2 linked regions of the Diceros bicornis minor genome follow. The protein of the gene in region 2 interacts with the protein of the main gene of each other region in a pairwise test. Links are inferred from orthologs where the notes say so. Each region holds a gene or a part of one and is shown on either strand. Other genes may lie near its edges. The genes, in order: MPP1 and DNPEP.

The links.
Region 1: the proteins of DNPEP (region 2) and MPP1 interact in binary tests that used the Homo sapiens proteins (3 or more experiments, as listed by UniProt). The two-hybrid records come from large-scale screens. The link is inferred for Diceros bicornis minor from reciprocal best matches to the Homo sapiens genes DNPEP and MPP1.

What each region holds. Positions count from the first base shown.
Region 1 is NC_080781.1:139,172,928-139,182,694, forward strand, and holds the start of MPP1 (55 kDa erythrocyte membrane protein), read left to right. Parts: upstream 1-5,449; 5' UTR 5,450-5,800; coding exon 5,801-5,902; intron 5,903-9,767. UniProt on the Homo sapiens protein: Essential regulator of neutrophil polarity. Regulates neutrophil polarization by regulating AKT1 phosphorylation through a mechanism that is independent of PIK3CG activity.
Region 2 is NC_080776.1:9,660,303-9,670,496, reverse strand, and holds the start of DNPEP (aspartyl aminopeptidase), read left to right. Parts: upstream 1-5,941; 5' UTR 5,942-5,993; coding exon 5,994-5,999; intron 6,000-6,066; exon of another isoform or gene 6,067-6,085; intron 6,086-6,586; coding exon 6,587-6,680; intron 6,681-6,765; coding exon 6,766-6,854; intron 6,855-6,954; coding exon 6,955-7,068; intron 7,069-7,321; coding exon 7,322-7,447; intron 7,448-7,661; coding exon 7,662-7,792; intron 7,793-8,022; coding exon 8,023-8,098; intron 8,099-8,187; coding exon 8,188-8,295; intron 8,296-9,036; coding exon 9,037-9,114; intron 9,115-10,103; coding exon 10,104-10,187; intron 10,188-10,194.

The sequences.
Region 1 (9,767 bases), on a different chromosome or scaffold from region 2:
GCATCCTTACACACATCTTTATAGTCTCTATGTCTTTTTCAACTTGTTGTTTAAGATAAATTGCTGAATGTGGAATTGTTGGGTTACAGGCTATGACCACTTTACGGTTTCTGATACTGTTCCACATAAGGTTTGTACCAATTTACTCTCCAGGCTCACAGCCCTCTCTCTTCCTACTGTCCTAAACATTGTGTTGTTACCTTGGTTTTCTTTATATTTTTGCCGATTATGTTTGGCAATAAATCATTTAATTTTGCCTGCATTTTTTGAACTCTTGAAGTATCCTGAGGCTTGGTGCCCCAGAAATTTTAAACTTCCTTTTTTGAAGTATAGCACACCTACAGAAAAGAGCACAGAGTGAACAAAGTCATTGTCCTCCTCCCCCTCCACATCACCAGCCCCTTCTCACCCCCAAGGTAACCCCTGTCTTGTCTTCTAACACCACAGCCTTGCCTGCTTTTTTTTTTTTTTTGGTGAGGAAGATTAGCCCTGAGCTAACATCTGTTGCCAATACTCCCCTTTTTGCTGAGGAAGATTGGCCCTGGGCTAACATCCGTGCTCATCTTCCTCCACTTTATATGTGGGACACCTGCCACAGCATGGCTTGACAAGCAGTGTGCAGGTCCCTGCCTGGGATCTGAACCGGCGAACCCAGGGCCACTGAAGCAGAGCGTGCAAAGTTAACCACTAGGCCACCAGGCCGGCCCCACCTTGCCTACTTTTAATCTTCATAAAAACTAAATCATATGGATGTATTCTCTGATTTTCTTCTTTTACTTGTTTTGTTTTGAGACTCATCCATGCTGATGCTTGTTGCTTCACCCATTCTGTATAACGTCGTATTGTATGAAAAGAGCCCTACTCATTTAGACCATCAACTGTAGAAGGACATTTGTATTGTTTCTGGATTTTTAATAAAGCTTCTACAAACATTATTGCACAGGTCTCCTCATGCACATGCGCAAGAGTTTCCATAAAGACTATACCCTGTGATTGACTTGCTGGGTCAAGGGAAGTGCACGTTCCACCTCAGTCTCAAAGCAATTGCCTCAAGTTACGCTACTACCAGCAGTAGGAATGTGATGTTCCCGTCATACCACATCCTTGAGAACATGCAATATCATCAGTCTTTCACTTTATTTGCCCATCTGGTGGACGAAAAATTGTATCTTGTTTTCTTTTTTTTTTTAAAGATTCTATTTATTTATTTTTCCCCCCAAAGCCCCAGTAGATAGTTGTATGTCACAGCTGCACATCCTTCTAGTTGCTGTATGTGGGATGCGGCCTCAGCATGGCCGGAGAAGCGGTGCGTCGGTGCATGCCCGGGATCCAAACCCGGGCGTCCAACAGTGGAGCGCGCACACTTAACCGCTAAGCCATGGGGCCGGCCCTACCTTATTGTTTTCTTACTTTCACTTCCCTGATAACTGATGAGATTGAAGACTTTTTCATATGTTCATGGATCATTTGTCTTTCTTTCCTGTGAAATTCCTGTTAAGGAATTTTGCCCATTTTTCTAATTTGTAGTTTCATCTAGTCCTTATTGGTCACAGGAATTCTTTATATATTCTGTATATTAATGTTTTGTAGGCTATAGATGTGGAAAATACCTTCCTCCAGTTTTAGGACTGTATTTTCACTCTCAATATGATGTATTTTGGTGAGTGGAAGTATTTATTTTAATGTAGTCAAATTTGGCAATCATTTTCCTCTATGTTAGTGTTCTTGGTGTGTGTTTAAGAAATCATTTTTCTACCCCAAAGTCATAAAGGAAGTCTCCTATTTGTCTTCTAAAAGTTTTATAGTTTTGCATTTCACATTTAAGTCCTTAAGCTACTCAGAATTATTTTTGGTAAGGTGTGAGGTCAAGTCCAATTTCATTTTTTTTAATACAGGTATTGTGAGAAGCTATACTTTTCCACTCATGAACTTTGAACTGAATTTCTGTGCCTAAGGGTAGTTCTAGGAATTGAGAAAAGGAGGTAGTTGCAATAAATTCCGAGAAGCAATAAATTCCAAGGAGCAAAACCAGATTCTGAGCAATGAGCACCCTGAACCAGAACTGGCTGACCAGCAAAAGGCCTGAGAATGTTGAAAAAAAGACAAGCTGTGTGACCGTCCACCCTCTGAGTCAGCCGACTTGTTCTCCCAGTACTTTTCCACCCTGAGCTTTGCCTCAATAAAAACTTCAACTAAATTTTGCTCAAAGAATCACTCTCTCTGAAGTTCTTCCAACTGCAATTATTTGGATAAAGTGTTTGCCTTCACCTCTAACCAGTCTTGGTTTCCATTTTGATAATATGGATCCCCAAAACGCCCAGTACCACTACTACCACTCAGTGCAAGTCCATCCTTTCCCTACTGCTCTGCAATGCCACCTGTCATGTTACCAAGTATCTAAATATGCACAAATCCGTTTCTAGTCTCTCTTCTGTTCCATTGGTCTATTTGTCTACTTTTGTGCCTATGCCACACTCTCTTAATCACCATAGCTTTCTTACAGGTCTTGCTATCTGGAAGGCAGGTCCCCCCACCTTGCTCTTCTAGAGAGCTTCGGCTATCCTTGTTCTTTACAACTCCACACATCTTTTAAAATCAGATTGTCAAGTTTCACAAAACATATCTGTTGAGATTTTTATTGGAATTGCATTGAATCTATAGGCCAATTTGGGGGGAACTGACATCTTCATAAGAAAATAGGTTAGTGGTTGCCAGGGGCTAGGGACAGGGGACTGGGGAGTGACTGTTAATGGGTACAGGGTTTCCTTTGAGGGTGATGACAAAGTTCTGGAATTAGATAGTAGGGGATGGTTGTACAACTCTGTGATTATACTAAAAAACACTGAATTTTTCACTTTAAATGGGTGAATTTTATGGAAAGAAAGACAGAAACTATTTCTTAAGTATTGATATCAATCACTATAGCCATTTAACATATAAAAACGGGAAAATTGGACCCAGTTTATACCTCTCAAGCTCAGTCTGACTAGACCCACGGAGATTCTGACACCTCCTATCACTTCTAGATCCAGCACTGAACTGTGGCATGTGGGATGACTCCCTAGTGACTGCCAAGACCCAGGCAACACAACTCAGAGGTGTGGGAAAATTAACACATGGCTGGGTAAACTTTGACCAGTGAGAGAGATGAGACCAAAAGACGCTGGCAGATCAGTTCCTTTCCCCTCCTTGACAATTTCAAGATACTGTGGTTCTATACAGCATGTCTAGACGCATCTAGGGAGACTGAGAAACAAGCTATACTTTCTTCAATAGCAATGGCTAGCTCAGGAGCACAATTTATAGTTTCTGTCCATCCTTCTCTGCCTCACTTCCCTTTTTCCCTCACTCATACACCCATGGGATTGGATCCTACCATAAAGGTTTAGCACATATGTTCTGATTCAGGCTCTGTTTTATAGTGAACCCAGAAACCAATCTTCCAGCTATAATATCTTGCCTTGGGCTTCAGAGGAGGCCTGCTTCATGGGGAGCTGGGGGAAAGAAGAATGGTTTGGCTCAGGAGAAGGAGCAAGACCATGCATACTATGGTTTCTTTACCTGGACAAACAAGGCAACTCTAATTTTGAATATTTTGTATGTGCATAGAGGAAGGCCTGGAAGGTTACAGACCGAACTGGGGAAGGTTGTTTCCTCTAGGGAGTGGGAAGGGGTGAGGAAGTGTTTTTCTCTATTTTATATATGCATGTATTTCTGATTCGTTTTCTTCTCGTTTCAATAATATTCCATTGTGTGGATATGCCACAGTGGATTGGCATTTGAGTTGTTCACTGGTTTTTGCTATTAACAAAATATTTTTATGAACATTGTTGTACATGGCCCTCGTTGTACCAATTCAAGAATTTCTGCTGGATATATATACCTAGGAATGGAATTGCTGGATGAGAGGGTAGATGCATGTTCAATTTTAAGAGATAATGGAAAACGGTTTTCCTAACTCGTAGTACCAAGTTTGACTCCCAGTAGCAATGTTCAAGAACTCATATGGATTCACATCCTCTCCAGCAGTTGATATTGTTAGACTTTTTAATATTTGATAATTGAATGGGTGTACAGTGGTATTTCATTGTAGTTTTGATTTGCATTTCCTTGTCACTAACGTGGTTGAATATCTGTTCATTTGTTTATTGGTCATATGTGTTTCTCCATCTGTGAAATGTTTATTCATGCTTTTTACCCATTTCTCTACTGGATTGTTTGTGTTTTTCTTATTAATTTGTAGTCCTTTATATATTCACAATACGAATCCTTTGTCACTTGTGTGTATTGAAAATACTTTCTCCCAATGCATATCTGGTCTTTTTTGCTTTTTACTTTGTCTCTTGATAAGTAAAAGTCGTTAATGCTAGCAAAGTCAAAGTTATCAATATTCTGTTTTATAGTAAATGGTTTGTTTGCATTGTTTAAGAAATCTTTCTCTACCCTAAAATCTAAAAGTTCCTTGCTGATGTTTTCTGTCAAGAGCCTTAAAAGTTGTGTTTTTAACATTTAAGTCATTAATCCATCTGGAGTACATTTTTTTTTCATATGGCATGGAGGAGGGTTCCAGTTTCATCTCTTTCAATATAAATAACCATTTTCCAGTTTCAGTTAATGAGTTCCTCTTGACTTCCTTAACACGCCACCTTGATCATATCCCACAGTTTTACACATGCAAGGGTGTGTTTCTGTATTCTCTAATCTATCCCATTGCTCCATTAGTCTATTCCTGCAGCAAAATCACACTCTGAATTTCAAAGGTCTTGCTCTCTCTCTGTCTCAGTCTCTGTCTGTCTCAGTCTTCTATGGTTCCTTTAGGGTAATCTTGGGGAAGGGAGCCATCAATCACGTGAGCTCAAGCCTTTTAGCAGAGAAAACTGGGCGATCCGGCTCCAAATTCTTGCCCTTGGATTTTCTCCTCTTGGCTATGAGCCATTGGAAGGTCTGAATCAGATTATACAGAGAAATGATCTGCTTATGATACTGTGAGGTTACTAGCTTGGGGTAAAGGGGGTCAGGTTTTTATCAGGTAAAGGTGTATACATATGGTGGACAGCCCTGAGCCCTGTAAGCCCAGTAAATGTGTGTTTTGTTCAGAAAGCTTTCCATCATTTAGACTGCTGTTTTAACGCCACCAATGCAATAGGATGCTAAGGAATCCTGCTGTAAGATTCCTAAGGGATATCGGCTCCCGTCGCTTTCACTGATCCCTCAAAATTTTCATGGCATTAACAGCAGCCGATGTGGCCTCAGACAAGTAAAAACAGTTTGTTGTTGGAGGCAATCAGGTCTTTCATTACTGAACTGCAGACAGCAATGTAAATAACAGGGCACCAGCAGCGTAGGAGCCTCAAGGGCATTTTCGCAACGTCCTGTGCCCGCATCGATTTATGGGTAGAGCCCGGAGTTGAAGGAGCGGCTTCCCTGCCATCCCCACGAATTTGGCGAGGGTGTGGGCGGTACGCTTAACCAGCTGGAGGCTGGGGGGCCCTCCGCAGTTTGGGCGCCGTTTTCTTTATTCCCACGACCCCTCCGGGACTCAGCCGCAGCGGCGGTGGCGAGAGCTGCGCTTCCTTCCGGCCCTCAGGACCCCGGGCGCCAGCCTTCGCGGGGGCCCGGGCGTGGGCGGAGCTCCGCCCCCTCCCGCCTGGCGCGCAGCCTGCGGGGTGGTGACCGGCCCAGTCGCGTCGCGACCCGCTGCCTCCGCCTCCGCCTCCGCCGTTCCCCAGGCCCCCGGCCTGGCACTCCCGGCTCCGCCCGGACCCGAGTCACTGCTTCCCTGGGTTCCGGCTCCTGCAAGATGACGCTCAAGGCGAGCGAGGGCGAGGGCGGGGGCAGCATGCGCACCGCGCTCTCCGACCTCTACCTGGAACACTTGCTGCAGAAGCGCAGCCGGCCCGAGGTGAGCGGGTCCTGCGGGTCCCCAGGGCGCGGGGTGCGGGGCCGGGACTCGGCTCCAGGCCGCGCTGCTCGCCGCGGGACCTCCCCCGACCGCGGCCCTGCCTCCAGGGGGCCTGTCCTCGGGGGGCCTCTCCCCAGGGTGGAGGCCGCGGCGGCCAGAGGAGTTCCTGCGGGGCTTCGGGTGTCGTAGGTCGTTGCCCCCAGCACCCCTTGTAGGTGGAAATAGGAGAGGCCGCGGCCTGGACAGAGCGCTTATTAAGGTCAAGGAAAACTTCGTGGATGGAAGTCAGGGTAACAGAAACACTTTAAGGAACAGATCCAAGAGTAGGTTTGCGGGGTAGTTGTTGAAATGCTTGTATTTGGGTCACCAAAAAAGGTTATAAAAGCCAAATCTGGCTCTAAAGTGCTCACTCACTGTCCCTCTGCATTTAGGCAGGGCCCCCTGTGCTAGGGTGTAAATGGAGTGGCCTGTGTATACTTGTGGGTGGACAAGGAATCCAAGGATTTCAGAGGTAATTCTGCCCTCCAGATTCCTGTGATGGCCGGTTAATAGCTGTTAACCTGTATCTTCAAAGATGCCCAGAGGGAAGGTTGAGCATTTTCTTATTATCTCTCATAGTTCCGGGTGTGGGTTGGACCCAGCAAGGTAAAGTTGTCACTCACCGTCTCTCAGGCAAGGGCAAAGCCACCAGAACGTTCACTCACTCACTCATCTGGAGGCTGAGGCTGGCTGTCAGTTGAAGCCATCAGCCAGAAGACAGACCAGCATGGTGGCCAGGTATTAAGAGTGAATATCCACAGAGATAGAGAGAGAGAGAGAGCCAGGCAGAGGCTGTGTTGCTTTTGATGACCCACCCTCAGAAGTCATAGTGTGCATCTCTTTCCTAGACTTAGAGATCGTCCAGGGCAAGGCTGTTTCACAGTCACTTTTTTAATTTTAAATGCCTAATAAATGGGTCCTCAGAAATGTTTGCTTAATTAGCAAATGACTGAAGAGGTGGATATTAGAGATTTAGCGTAACCTTCTGCTTTCACAGATGACCAAACTGAAAATCCACGAGGTAAGGCAAACAGTAGAGCTGTAGACTCTGGGCATTAGCTTAAGGAAACAATTGATAAGCCTCAGAACTGAGGCTAGATTTTGTATCTGCAGAGTCAAAGCTCAGTGTACTTTCTGCTTCACCACATTGCCTTTCCTTTATACTACACTCAGAGTGCAGTGTTCATACAAATCATGATCACCATACTGTAGGCATAAAGGATTGCCACAATGAACAGGTGGGGAAGACGTCATTGTTATTCAGATGACAAGACAAAATTGGAAGTTATGCAGTGGAATGTGCACTAGGAGGGAATCAGGGTCTAAAACTACCTGGTTCCACATAAGGTTGGACATGTGATGTTTTTTCTTCCCCATAATCAACTCACTTGGCTGAGCCTTAACTTTTTCAAAAAAATCTCTTTATTAAATTTACTTTCGGCAGCTTTGAGGTATAATTAGCATATGTGTAATTCACGAATTTAATGTGCAGTTCGATGAGATTTGACAGATGCATCCAGTCATGTAACCATTACCAAAACCATACTATAGAACATTTGCATCACTCCAGAAAGTTCTCTCGTGGCCCTTTACAGTCACTCCCCCACTTTGGAAACCTGGAAACCACCCTGGGAATGAATCTGCTTTCCAGCACTATCATTTTGCCTTTTCAAGACTGCCTTATAAACAGAATCCAGCTATATGCAGTCCTTTCTCTCTGGCTCCTTTCCCTCAGCACAACCTGGGCCCAGTCTGTAACTTGATGACCAGACTTTGTGTAAACCTGTCTGCTCCTTATGGGCCGACTGGAGAGATTGCTTGCCTTTTTGAAAACAGGCCCCATCACTACGAGAGTTATGTTGTGGGCACATCCTCTGAGTAAACAGTAGTTTTTGTGGAGCTATGAGTTCACCCTAAAATACTGGATGCAGTCTACCAGTTAGCCAGTTTGTTTTGGTGTTATTCAAGGATTTGAAGAAGATGAAATTAGAAAACTTGCTAAATCCCTGAATGAAATAGCATCCTAGTCTGCCAAGGTGTGGACATCATGGGGAGAATCTCCATATGGTGAGGGGTGGCTTGACCCCGTGAACCTGCTGATTCTTATTTCTTAAGATTCGCCTTCTCTTTGGGGCTCTTTCTAGTCTTTGCTGCCAACGCTAGGCTCTGCCTTTCACTTGCTGTGTGGCCTTGGGCAAGCTGCTGAAGCTCTCTGTGCCTTAGGTTTCTCTTCTCTGTAAAATGGACCTGCTTGGAGGGTTGTGGTGATGTTTACCTGAGGCAATGCTTATCAAGCACTTTGAACCACACCAGGACATCCAACATCTCCCTGAGAGCTGCCTGTCCAGTCGCAGTCAGCACGTTTTCCTATACTGGCAAGAAGCAGGAAAACCTGTGAGGAAGTTGTTGGCTTTAATGGAATTCATAAAATTCTGTTACTGAAGGCTTCATTTAAGGGGATTGCTTTCTGAAAAGTTCTAAAGACTCAAAACCCAAAGTTTCACTTCCAGTCATAGTCCACATTTAATAAAGTATTGTCAAAAGATAATTTTGCAGTATGTTTGAACTGTAGCCTGTCTCCCATATTTAAGTATTTTTCCTTCCTTGGAGAAACTAATTTTATAAGCTCTCTCTGGCCTTATTCTTTACAGCAGTATCCATTAATGCGCATAGAATTGGTTGTAAAATTCCTAATACTGCTTTTCTCTTCAGTCCTGTTTGAAGCAGCACTTTTCCCATGACCTGAAGCAATAGGTTGAGAATCCCTGAAAATTCACTTGGGCCTATCCCACATCAACAAATGGCCTAAGCAGGCTCCAGGTGAGTTTCTACTGAGAAGACCTATCTGTTGATTCTTAGGCCATGAGATGCGGTATTACTCCACACTGGTAATCTCTCATTCTGACACAGGATTGTTGATTGCCTACTGTGTACAGGCCTGGTGCTGGGGCCAGGAAGTCAGTAAGGGAGGACACAGAGGCAGGTGTGGGGTGCTGGGAAGTTGTCGGAGCCTGAGTCGTGTGGTCTCTAGGATGTAATTGGTGTATAGCACTCCAGGCAGGGGCAACCGCCTGTGCAAAGACATCCAGGTTCTTGCTAAGCGTGGCACCTTCTGGGCTGGCAAGAAGCTGACTGAGTCTGGCCGGTCTGTGGTGTGCATTGTCAGTGAGGCTGCTCCTGATGTTCTCTGATTTTGCCTAAGGAAGAACTTTTGCTCCAGACTTGGATCTGGTTGCTTCATGTGAGGAGGGAATTTTTCCATTTGAGGTTTTTCTTTTCACAGAAAGGATAATAGAAAATAAAGTGTAATTTTCAAATTATTTAGTCCTCTCACCACTTTTCCCAGTACATGGTGTAGTCTCAGCCTGTCTGGCTCCTGCCTTACCCTTCCCTTCAAGGAACTTTATGACTGCCTTTCAAAAGAAAGGACTTGGTATACCTTGCAGGTAAGAATCTGGGTTTATTGTGACCACTGGAGGCTAAGTAAATTAGAGTTTTATCATGTAAATTCTAGTCAATATTTTAAATTCGAGAAGATAACCTTTCCTAGCTCATGTTCCCTGACAGTGAATTAGATATTTCAGGCCAAGATCAATTCCCTTAAATCAGGGGTAATCAGTTGACATTTCATTGATGCAGAGATTTTTCCCCTAAGCACTAAATTGCTCAGACCCTTCAGTGTTGCTAAAAAAAGGAGGACTCCTGGTGTGGAGTGTAGAAAGGCCAGAGTAAATCCCCGGATTTCCAAAATTGGCTGGGGGAGGGGAAGTGACCTCAGGGGTGGGGAACAGGAAGAAAAGCTCTGAATTAGGGAACCAGATACAAC
Region 2 (10,194 bases):
CTTCGGCAGCCTGAGTTCGCAGGTTCGGATCCCGGACATGGACCTACACCACTTGTCAGCCATGCTGCTATTACTGATATCTTCCCCCATTTCACAGATGAGGAAACTGAGGCTCAAAGTGGTATGATGGTAAATGTTTAACAATTAGCTCTCTGGAAGGAAAAAAAAAAGAGCCCTGATTTGTGGTGTTTGCCAATCTCGGTAGTGGAAATACTCCCAGGCCAGTTTCAAGCTAGGAGGCTCATATCGTTGAAGGTCGAATTGGGAAGAGATGGGAGTGGGAGCTGGCTGCAGCACCCCACTGCACGCATGGCCCACAGCTAGTTGATGGAGGAGCCAGGACTTGAACCAGAGTGTGTCTGGTCCCAAGCCCACATGCATAACCACTTTGTTATCCCGTCAACAACTACACAAGATCCTTGACATTTCAGAGGGAAACATCTTAAGACCTTTGCGAAGTGCCAATTTTACAATCCTCCATAAAACCCCCAAGGTTAATCACCAGCACTTCCCTATATCTCTGTTTTTATCACCAACAGGAGCACGTGGTTTTTTTTTGGACGGCCAATGAAAAAAACTTTTTTTTTGAAATAATTATACAGTCACAGGAGGTTGCAAAAAGAGTACAGAGAAGTCCTGTGTACCCTTCACTCAGTTTCCCCTAAAGGTTACATCTCCGTAACTACAGCCCAATATCCCAACCAGGCAATGGACGTTGGTGAAATGTGTGTGGATAGTTCTATGCCATGTTATCCAGAATTGTGAGATTTAGCAAATAAAAATACAGGACACAGTTAAATTTTAAGTGTAAATATATCCTGTGCAATATTTGGGACATATACTGTACTTATAATACTTAGAAATTATTCTTTATTTATCTGAAATTCCAATATAACTGGGTGTCCTGTATTTTAGCTGGCAACCCTAATTTTATCACAGGTGTAGAATCATGCAACCACCACCGTAATCAAGATAGAGAACTATTCCAGAACCACAGCGATGTTCCCTGTCCTATTCCTTTTAGAGTCACACCCAGCCCTTCCTCCACCCTCCCGAGGCCTTGGCAACCACGAATCTGTTCTCTATCTCTAGAATTTTGTTCTTTTTTTCATGCAATATAATACTTGTGGGATCCATCCACATCGTGGCAATTATCAATAGTTTGTTCCTTTTTATTGCTGGAGAGTATTCGATGAGGGCCATTTTCTCACAAAGAACAATTATTATTATTTATTTATTTATTTATTGCTGAGGAAGATTCACCCTGAGCTAACATCTGTGCCCAACCTCCTCTATTTTGTATGTACGTCGCCACCACAGCCTGGCGGACGAGTAGTGTAGGCCCGCCCCCAGGATCCGAACCCTCGAACCCAGGCCGCCGAACTGGAGCATGCCGAACTTAATCACTAGGCCACGAGGCTGGCCCCAAGAACAATTATTTTTTAAAATTTCATTCATTCAATAAATACTTATCGAACATCTACCATATGCCAGGTGCAGACACGGAGCAAGCAAGGAGCTAGTTGCAGTCAGGGTTGGGGTTCTTGCCAGGCAAGTAAGCAAATCCAGACTGGGCAAGGGACTCGAAGGCATACTCAAGGGACTCCATTATAAGGATGGAGCACAGGATTAATGCTGGGTAGGAGGGAAATGGAGACGAGACGAGTAAGGAACAGGAAAAAGACAGGATCAATAGTTCGTAGTTCTGTCTAGGTGAACCATTAATGGAGTTGGTTTCCCTATCTCCTTCCCAGTTCCTTTTTTGTTTAAATATCAACATCAAAAGAAACATTCCATCCTCTTCCCCCTTCCACATGAAGACACAATTCACAATTTCCACAGCAGAAGGTAACAGAGCTTTACGTGGGCATTTTTTATCTGAAGCCTTTAGGGTTAGATGCTAATCAACAAATCCTTACTCACTCACTCAGGGTACAGAAGAAAACAAAATTATGGTCACAAAGTACTTAAAGATCATCTTTCCACTTGTTACTTTTTAAATTTACTTATTTCGTTCTTAAAAGTAGGTAAAACGTGTACATAGGAAAAAATTCAAAAAGTGCAAAAGGATTTATAGGAGAAGAAAGTGTTCCTTCCACCCCAGACCGTCAGCCACCCCATTTCTCCTTCCCAGAGTCAGTTACCATGTTCTTGTGACTGCCGACATATTTTAAACATATAAGTATATTTGTGTGTGCATCTGAGTGTTTACACACACAAACGGCAGCATACCTGCTAGTCTGCACTTTATTTTTTCACTTACTAGTGTTATCCTGGAAGTTATTCCCTATCAGTACCTATAGAGGTGCTTCATTCTCTTTAACCATATAAAGTACTTTCTAAGCCTCCCTCCTAGAACATAATTGGTTGGAAATTATAATCTTCCTTAGCTACTCGCCTCGAGGCATCCTGGAACTTGTAGTCCTTGATCAGTTGAGTCTTGCACGGAAAACAGGACTTGAGCAGAAGACATGTGTTGGAAACTAAAGTACCCTTCCAACCACACTGTAAGAGGACACATGGTACCGTGTTATGCACGTTCCTACCGTTATACCTGGAAGCAAATTATTTATTCATTTAAACAACCAACACATCTACCAGCAATGAGATACCCAGAGCTCTCTTGGCATCAGGAAATCAAGATCATCTGATTCAGCCCCTCTCTAAATGCACCTATTTTAGCAGACAGGGGCAGGACACACACACACGCACGCAGGCACACACACTCCACAATAAATGAATAATGATAGCATTATAAACACAGCTAAGGACAGGTAGGGAAGCTTTTCTCGGGAGGCTGAGGGCAAGAATGATCCTCAGAAACTTTTTTTGGATAGCTAAGTTCCCCCCTTGATCCTCCCACTTCACATCCAAGACCATTCCCTTATCCAGAGACGACCACTCTCCTTCCAAACCTGTTTCCATGCATTTACATATGTATTTACATAAAATCTAGAAATTTAGTTCATTATGTAAGTTTTACCTAAACGCTCTTGCCCTGTAAATATTATTCTGGAAATTGTTTTTTTTTCTACTCAACAATATATCTGGAACTTTTTTCTATTAACCTCACATTATTTTTTTTCTGCCACATGGTACTTTAAAACACTGTGTCTCAACTTTAATGTGCATTCAGGTCATCTAGGGATCTTGTTAATACAAAGATTCTGATTTGGTGGGTCTGGGGTAAGCCCTGAGGGTCTGCAGTTCTAAAAAGTTCTCAGGTCTTATAGATGCTCCTGGTCAACAAATCACGCATTGAGGAACAAAGGTGTAGAGAAGGAGCGAAGTTGTGTGCTACAGCCAACCTGGACCAGCTCATAAGAACTGACTGTCAAATTTCCAAGAATTTTGTGATCCCATTGTTACACACAGCAATCATTAAAAAATTAAATTATATAAACTTACAATTAAATAAATCATATTAAAAACAGATAATAAATACTCAAAAATCATCACTTTCTCAACTATTTTAATATAAACCTATGCTCTTGGGGTTATTTATGTCGATTATGTCTGTATGGTGGAAATCTATACAATGCTATGCTTTTGTGCATCTCTTCCCAACTCCACGTTCAGTTCATGTTGGCAGCTTGGAACCAGCAATGGGGAGGGTTGACACCACAGAAATTAGGAATAAAGGCATGTTACCCCAAGCCTTCTCCAACGTTTCGTACTACCAGTCTTTTTCTATTTTGCTAATCTGACAAATCAAAAACGGGATCTCATTTTTAACTTGCATTTCCCTGATTACAGTGAGACTGGGTCTCTCTTATGTTCATTCGTAGGAATTTAATAGTATTTCTTGTTCTTGTAAATAGGACTTTTTTATCATTATATTTTCTAGTTGATTATGGCACAGGAAGGCTGATGATTTTTAGAATCAGACCACCGCTCCTACCAGTTCTAATAGCTTGTCAGTTTATTTTCTTGGAGGTTCCAGGGACTCATATAACCTACAAATGATGACAAGTTTTACTTTTCCGTATATGCAGCTGTTTATTTGGCTTTGTGGCGATGGCTCTGACTGCAGGTCCCCACTGACCACCGGCGGTCACAGCTGGTTATATCTTACTTCTGATTTGAACAGGACACTTCCGATTTCCCCGCTAATATCTGCTGTAGATTTCTGGCAGACAGCCTTTATCCTTTCTCTTCCTGCTTTCTTAAGAGGATTTCGTTTGGGTTTTTATCAAGAACGGATGTTCAATATATTAAACATTTACTTTCCCTTTCTACGTTACACACTTTGGTGATATTTGAACTTTTCACATTAACCTGTACTCTTTTTTGTGATCAGAAGAACATGAGAGAGTCTTCTTTAAGTTAAATCTCCTTCCCTTATACATTGTACCCCTGTCTCAGCTCTTTTCACTGTCATTAAGTATGTCCCCAGTAGCCAGCATCTGGCCCCTCAGATGAAAAAGATGTTCTCCCCATGTCCCACTCAGCACTGAAACTTTATACATAGTAAGATTTCAATAAACGGTTAGGGGACCGGCCCCGTGGCTTAGCGGTTAAGTGCACACACTCTGCTACTGGTGGCCTGGGTTCGGATCCCGGGCGCCTGCTGAGGCACCGCTTCTCCGGCCATGCTGAGGCCACGTCCCACATACAGCAACTAGAAGGATGTGCAACTATGACATACAACTATCTACTGGGGCTTTGGGGGAAAAAACGGAGGAGGATTGGCAATAGATGTTAGCTCAGAGCTGGTCTTCCTCACAAAAAAAGTAAATAAATAAAAAATAAAATAAAAAAATTAATGGTTAGGGAATGCCATGAATTTAACCCATCACCTGGTGTGTATCTTCTGGAACACTAACCTGCAATATCTATTCCTTTGAAGTGAGGGCTGCAGGACCTTCCAGCTACTCTTCCCCGAACATTCCCACCCCAGGTCGAACGTTCCCACCCCAGGTTATAAGAGGCACGTTGTTCCGTTGACCAGTAATCCCTGGAGTGTTGATAACACCCCTATGTTATCTGTTGGGCCCTGTTTTGAACCTAGGGGCCACCAAGAGTCCTGATCAGAATCTACAGCTAGGCAGGTGCCTGAGTTTTTTAAATTGCTACTCACCACTCTTGACATATGAATACTGGAATTGCCACCAAGAACATATGGAGGTTTTTTTTCCCTGTCGTTTCAAGAAATGGAAAGAGTACATACAGATTCAAGTCAAATCCCACATGCATCCAAACAGCTGTGTGATCTTGGTCAAATCATGAACTTCTGTCCCTCAGGGCCCTCTGTGTAACATTACACAGAGCAAGGTGCATAGAAAAAGGCCCAAAGAAGATCTGAGAGTGGATTGTTCCCAGGCCCCCGGAATCGAATTAATTGAGTCCAAACCCCACCTCTGGCCATTTACTACCTTGGACAGGTTACTCGTCTCTGTATTTGGGTTTGTTCATGGATAACATTGGGACAGTATAAGTACAAAGTTGATAGGGCAGTTGTGAAGATTAAACAAGGTAACACGTTAAGCTTGACCACCAAGCTAAAGCTCATCGTCAGCGCTCCATGAACACCAGCCATGTTGCTTTTATTATCTCAAGGCTGCCTGTGGAGAGAGAGAGCACTTTGTACAGCACCCGTTGGACCAGGTGAGCTGGCGGGGACGAGTTTTTTCTCGGACTCTGACGCGGGGGACGAGCGGGGACGACGGGTCTCGGCTGTCCTCGCACCTCCGGGACGGCAGAGGGCCCCCGCCACCGCCGCGGACGGTGCGGCGAGGGGCGGGGCGGACGGTGCGGCGAGGGGCGGGGCGGACGGTGCGGCGAGGGGCGGGGCGGACGGCGGGGGCGGGGCGGACGGTGCGGCGAGGGGCGGGGCGGATGGTGCGGCGAGGGGCGGGGCGGACGGTGCGGCGAGGGGCGGGGCGGACGGCGGGGGCGGGGCGGACGGCGCGGCGAGGGGCGGGGCGGACGGCGGGGGCGGGGCGGGCCGAGCGCCGGGGCCGGGCGAGCAGAAGCAGGCCCTGGCGGGGGCTATGCAGGTGGGTGTCCGCCGCCGCCCCGCTCGAATTTCGATCCCAGACCCGACCCTGCGTCCGCTGGGGCACACGCTTAGCAGCGCGCTGAAGTGGGGGCCGCGCCCGATCAAAGCGAAACCGAAAGCCCGGCCCGGGTGACCTGACCTTCCTGGGTTGCCAAGGGGTGGCCTGCAGAGACTGGCGGGTGGCGGGGAGGTGGGTAGTCCCTAGAGAACACGTGGTGCAGGCCGGCTCAGAGCTAGGGGCGCGCTCGGACGTGGGGAACCCGCCGGGATTTCTCAACTGGGCAGGCACGTGGGGGCCGGACTTAGGGGGCGGGGCTAAAGCTCGGATTAGGGGGCGGGCGCTCTTGGACGAGCTGGGCGGAGAGCGAGGCTGGGGTTGTGATACTTTGGCTGGAGGGCCGGAGCTTTCAGTGGAGAGAGGTTCGACCCGGAGTCTGCGCGTCTCTGTGGGGAAAGGGGCGGAAGCAGAGGCTTGAGCCTTGGAGCGATCAGTTCGGGGGGATTTGCAGGGGGGAGTCCCCGGAGCCTGGATGGTAAGTCAGGCGTCCCAGACCTCATCGGAGTCTGAGCGCCCCCCTCCTCTAGGTGGCCATGAGTGGCAGGGCCCGCAAAGAGGCAGTGCAGGCCGCGGCCCGGGAGCTTCTCAAGTTCGTGAACCGGAGCCCCTCTCCTTTCCACGGTAAGTGACCAGGGCAGCTGAGGAGGGTGGGCCCCGTGTGGCCCCTACCGGCTTCCATCGCTATGAGAGGCTTCTTTCCCTACAGCCGTGGCCGAGTGCCGCAGCCGCCTCCTCCAGGCTGGCTTTCATGAACTCAAGGAGACGGAGACTTGGGATATCAAGCCCGAGAGCAAGGTACCAGGGGTGTGGTGGGAGCGGAGAGGCAGGAACCCAGGCTGGGTCTCAAAGTCTGTGTGCCAGCTGGCTGGCTAATCCAACTCCCCCTCCCTGCCAGTACTTCCTGACCAGAAACTCCTCGACCATCATCGCTTTTGCTGTGGGAGGCCAGTATGTTCCTGGTAATGGTTTCAGCCTCATTGGAGCCCACACGGACAGTCCCTGCCTCCGGGTAAGGAACTGGGGCTGTGCTGGGGTAGGGGAGGCATCAGAAGAAGGAGTACAGGGCAAAAGAGAGCCCGGGGGTACAAATCAGGGGCTCTGTTCACTAGAGCAAGGAAGAGGACTTGTCGCCCCCTTCCTCCCCATCTTGAGCCCTTGTCTGTCACAAATATTCATTTATGTTACTTAGCTTTGAACGGTCTGTCTCATCTCCAAGCCTTGTGTTGCGGCCTCTGATTCTCGTTCCCCATGCTCACACTCAGGTGAAACGGCGGTCTCGCCGCAGCCAGGTGGGCTTCCAGCAGGTTGGTGTGGAGACCTATGGCGGTGGGATCTGGAGCACCTGGTTTGACCGTGACCTGACCTTGGCTGGACGTGTCATTGTCAAGGTGGGCACTGGGGTTGGACCTGGGAGGTTCTCAGCTTCAGCTGCTTGGAGATTGGCTATCACCTTTCTTCGGGGTACCTGTGGACAGCCCCCCGGGGCAGGAGGGTAGGGCAGTCGGGGTCAGGGGATCACCCTGGTTAGTCTGGGTGAAGTGGGGGCTTTAGCTGGCTGTGGTTGGGAGGTGCCCTGGGCTGACCTGGCCTGGGGGGCCACAGTGCCCGACCTCAGGCCGGCTGGAGCAGCGGCTGGTGCACGTGGACCGGCCCATTCTTCGCATCCCGCACCTGGCCATCCATCTGCAGCGAAATGTCAACGAGAACTTTGGGCCCAACATGGAGATGCACCTGTGAGACTGGGCAAGGGCTGTGGTGACTGGGAGGAATGGGGGGTGGCACCAGTGATGGAAGGGTGATGGTGGGACCTGGGAGACCGCTCCTTACTGGGGACCACCATCAGCTTCTCCTCTTAGGACCCAGCTGGAAATTGAAGGGCAATAGCAGTTTCCCATCAGGAGATGCCTGAGCTCAGGGGTGCCCTCCAGCCCTCCCCAGCCCCCCATCACATGTCTCCCCACAGGGTCCCCATTCTTGCCACGGCAGTCCAGGAGGAGCTGGAGAAGGGGACTCCAGAGCAAGGGTCTCTCAATGCTGCAGTAAGAGAGTCCCTGCTCATGGGGAGGGGTAGGCCGAGGGGGAGGGGGAGGAAAACAGAGCCTCTTCCCAGCATCCTTCTGCCCTGCAGGATGAGCGGCACCACTCAGTCCTCATGTCTCTTCTGTGTGCCCACCTGGGGCTGAGCCCCGAAGACATCTTGGAGATGGAACTCTGCCTGGCAGACACACAGCCTGCGGTGAGGAATGGCTGTAGGCACTTGTGGCTGGGGACCTCTGGGATCCCAGCCTGTCCCAGCATGTCCCCAGAGGCACTCATCACCTCTGCCAGTCCCCCGGTTACCGTCATCCCTGTTCTTGCCAGTAGACACCATCCTTTCTGCCTCCAGGGCAGTGGTTCTCCAAAGGGCAGTTTCCTTCTGCAGACCTGCCTACTCGGACTGTCTGGGCTGGAGCCTGGGACTTGACCTTTCCACAGATTCCTCAGGAATTTCTGCCACGGGTGGTCCCTGTCTACTGTGACCCACGCTGGCCTGAACCTCTGAGAACAAGAGGCCTGGCTGTGACGGCCCTGTTTCTGGAGCCTGTCCTCGTGTCCTTCCCAGTTACCAACAGTAGGAGATTGCCAAGAATTGGATGCTCGGTCCTATTTGAATGTGCACTATGGTCCTGTTTCTTGCCTTATCTCCTTCTGTTTATTTCCTTAGCTTTTGTTGTGACCCTTCACCCCGCCCTTTTCCTGTCCCACAGGGAGTGTGTGGGAACTACAGGCCTCCATCCTCCTGTCCCTCAGCTGCAGCCCGGCCCCCTTCACCATTCTCCGCTCAGCCCTGTGCAGCGGGGATCATAGTGCCCTAGGCCAGGGGTCGGGGAGAGGTTGCACAAGGAGGCTTACTCAAACTCAGGCCCTTGGGAACAGGGGGATGCAGGTGAGTTGGAGCAAGGGGTCGAAGTTCAGGCTAACTGTCCTATCTTTCTAGGTCCTGGGTGGGGCCTATGAGGAGTTCATCTTTGCCCCTCGGCTGGACAATCTGCACAGCTGCTTCTGTGCCCTGCAGGTGAGGGGCTGGGGTGCTCCCAGGCAGCACATACCACCAGGAGAGCTGGAGAGTTTGGGGAGGGGCTGCCTCAAGCCCCAGCAGGTCGTGAGATGGCTGCTGGCCATCCCCGCAGTCTGCCGGTCCTGGGTGGCCCACAGGGACGGGACTAAAGGCTGCAGCCTCAGTATCTCCGTGTGGCCCCATCCTCCACTGGCCTGGGGCCAGGGGCTGAGGTAGGGGAAGGTGGAGAGGCTGTTTAGGGCACCAGTGTCCTGTCCTAACCTGCTTCTGCTGCTTCTCCCTTAGTTAACCTCTGCTTCAGGGGAAAGGCCCTAGCGTCCCATAAGGCAGTATCATCCACCTCCCTCTGGCCCCCCCACCCCAGGCTGAAGTGCCCCCAGCCTTCTCTCTGTGCCTTGGAACCTCAGTGGGGTGGTCTCTCTTCTTCCTAGCCACCTTGGTATTCCCCACCTTCTTTCTGTCATAGTCAGTTCCCTCTCTCCTCACCCCTCCCTCTGCCCTTTCCTACCTCTCTTCCCTCCCCATCCTGTTCTTGGAGACGGGCTTTGGGCTGTACTTGAGACCAGAACCAGACCTGGGACACATACCGTCTTCTGCCACCAGCTAGTCAGTCATGTCACCTTGATGGAGCCACAGTCACCTCTTGGACCTCGATCTTTTCACTGAGGACTATTAGTTTACATGATCTGTTTGGTCCTTTGGACTTGGCAGGATTCTCAGCCCTTCCCCTCCACCTGACACGTCCTCCTGCCTTTTGCATGGGAAGGTGTGGGAGAAGAACACCCAAAGGGCAGTGTCCCATCCCGTTACAAGGCCCCCACGCCAGGCAGTGCCCTGAGAGAGGAAGGCCAGTGAGAGCCCACACCCACTTCGCTCTGGCTGTTGACGACAGAAGGCGGGCGGGGAGTGCGAGCCTCCGTGGTGTCGGTGGGCTGTTAGAGAAGAAGAAGGGTGAGGATGGTGCTCTCGTTCTCCCCTCAAACCAGGCCTTGATCGATACCTGCGCAGCCCCTACCTCCCTGGCCTCAGACCCCCACGTGCGCATGATTGCCCTCTACGACAATGAAGAGGTACGTA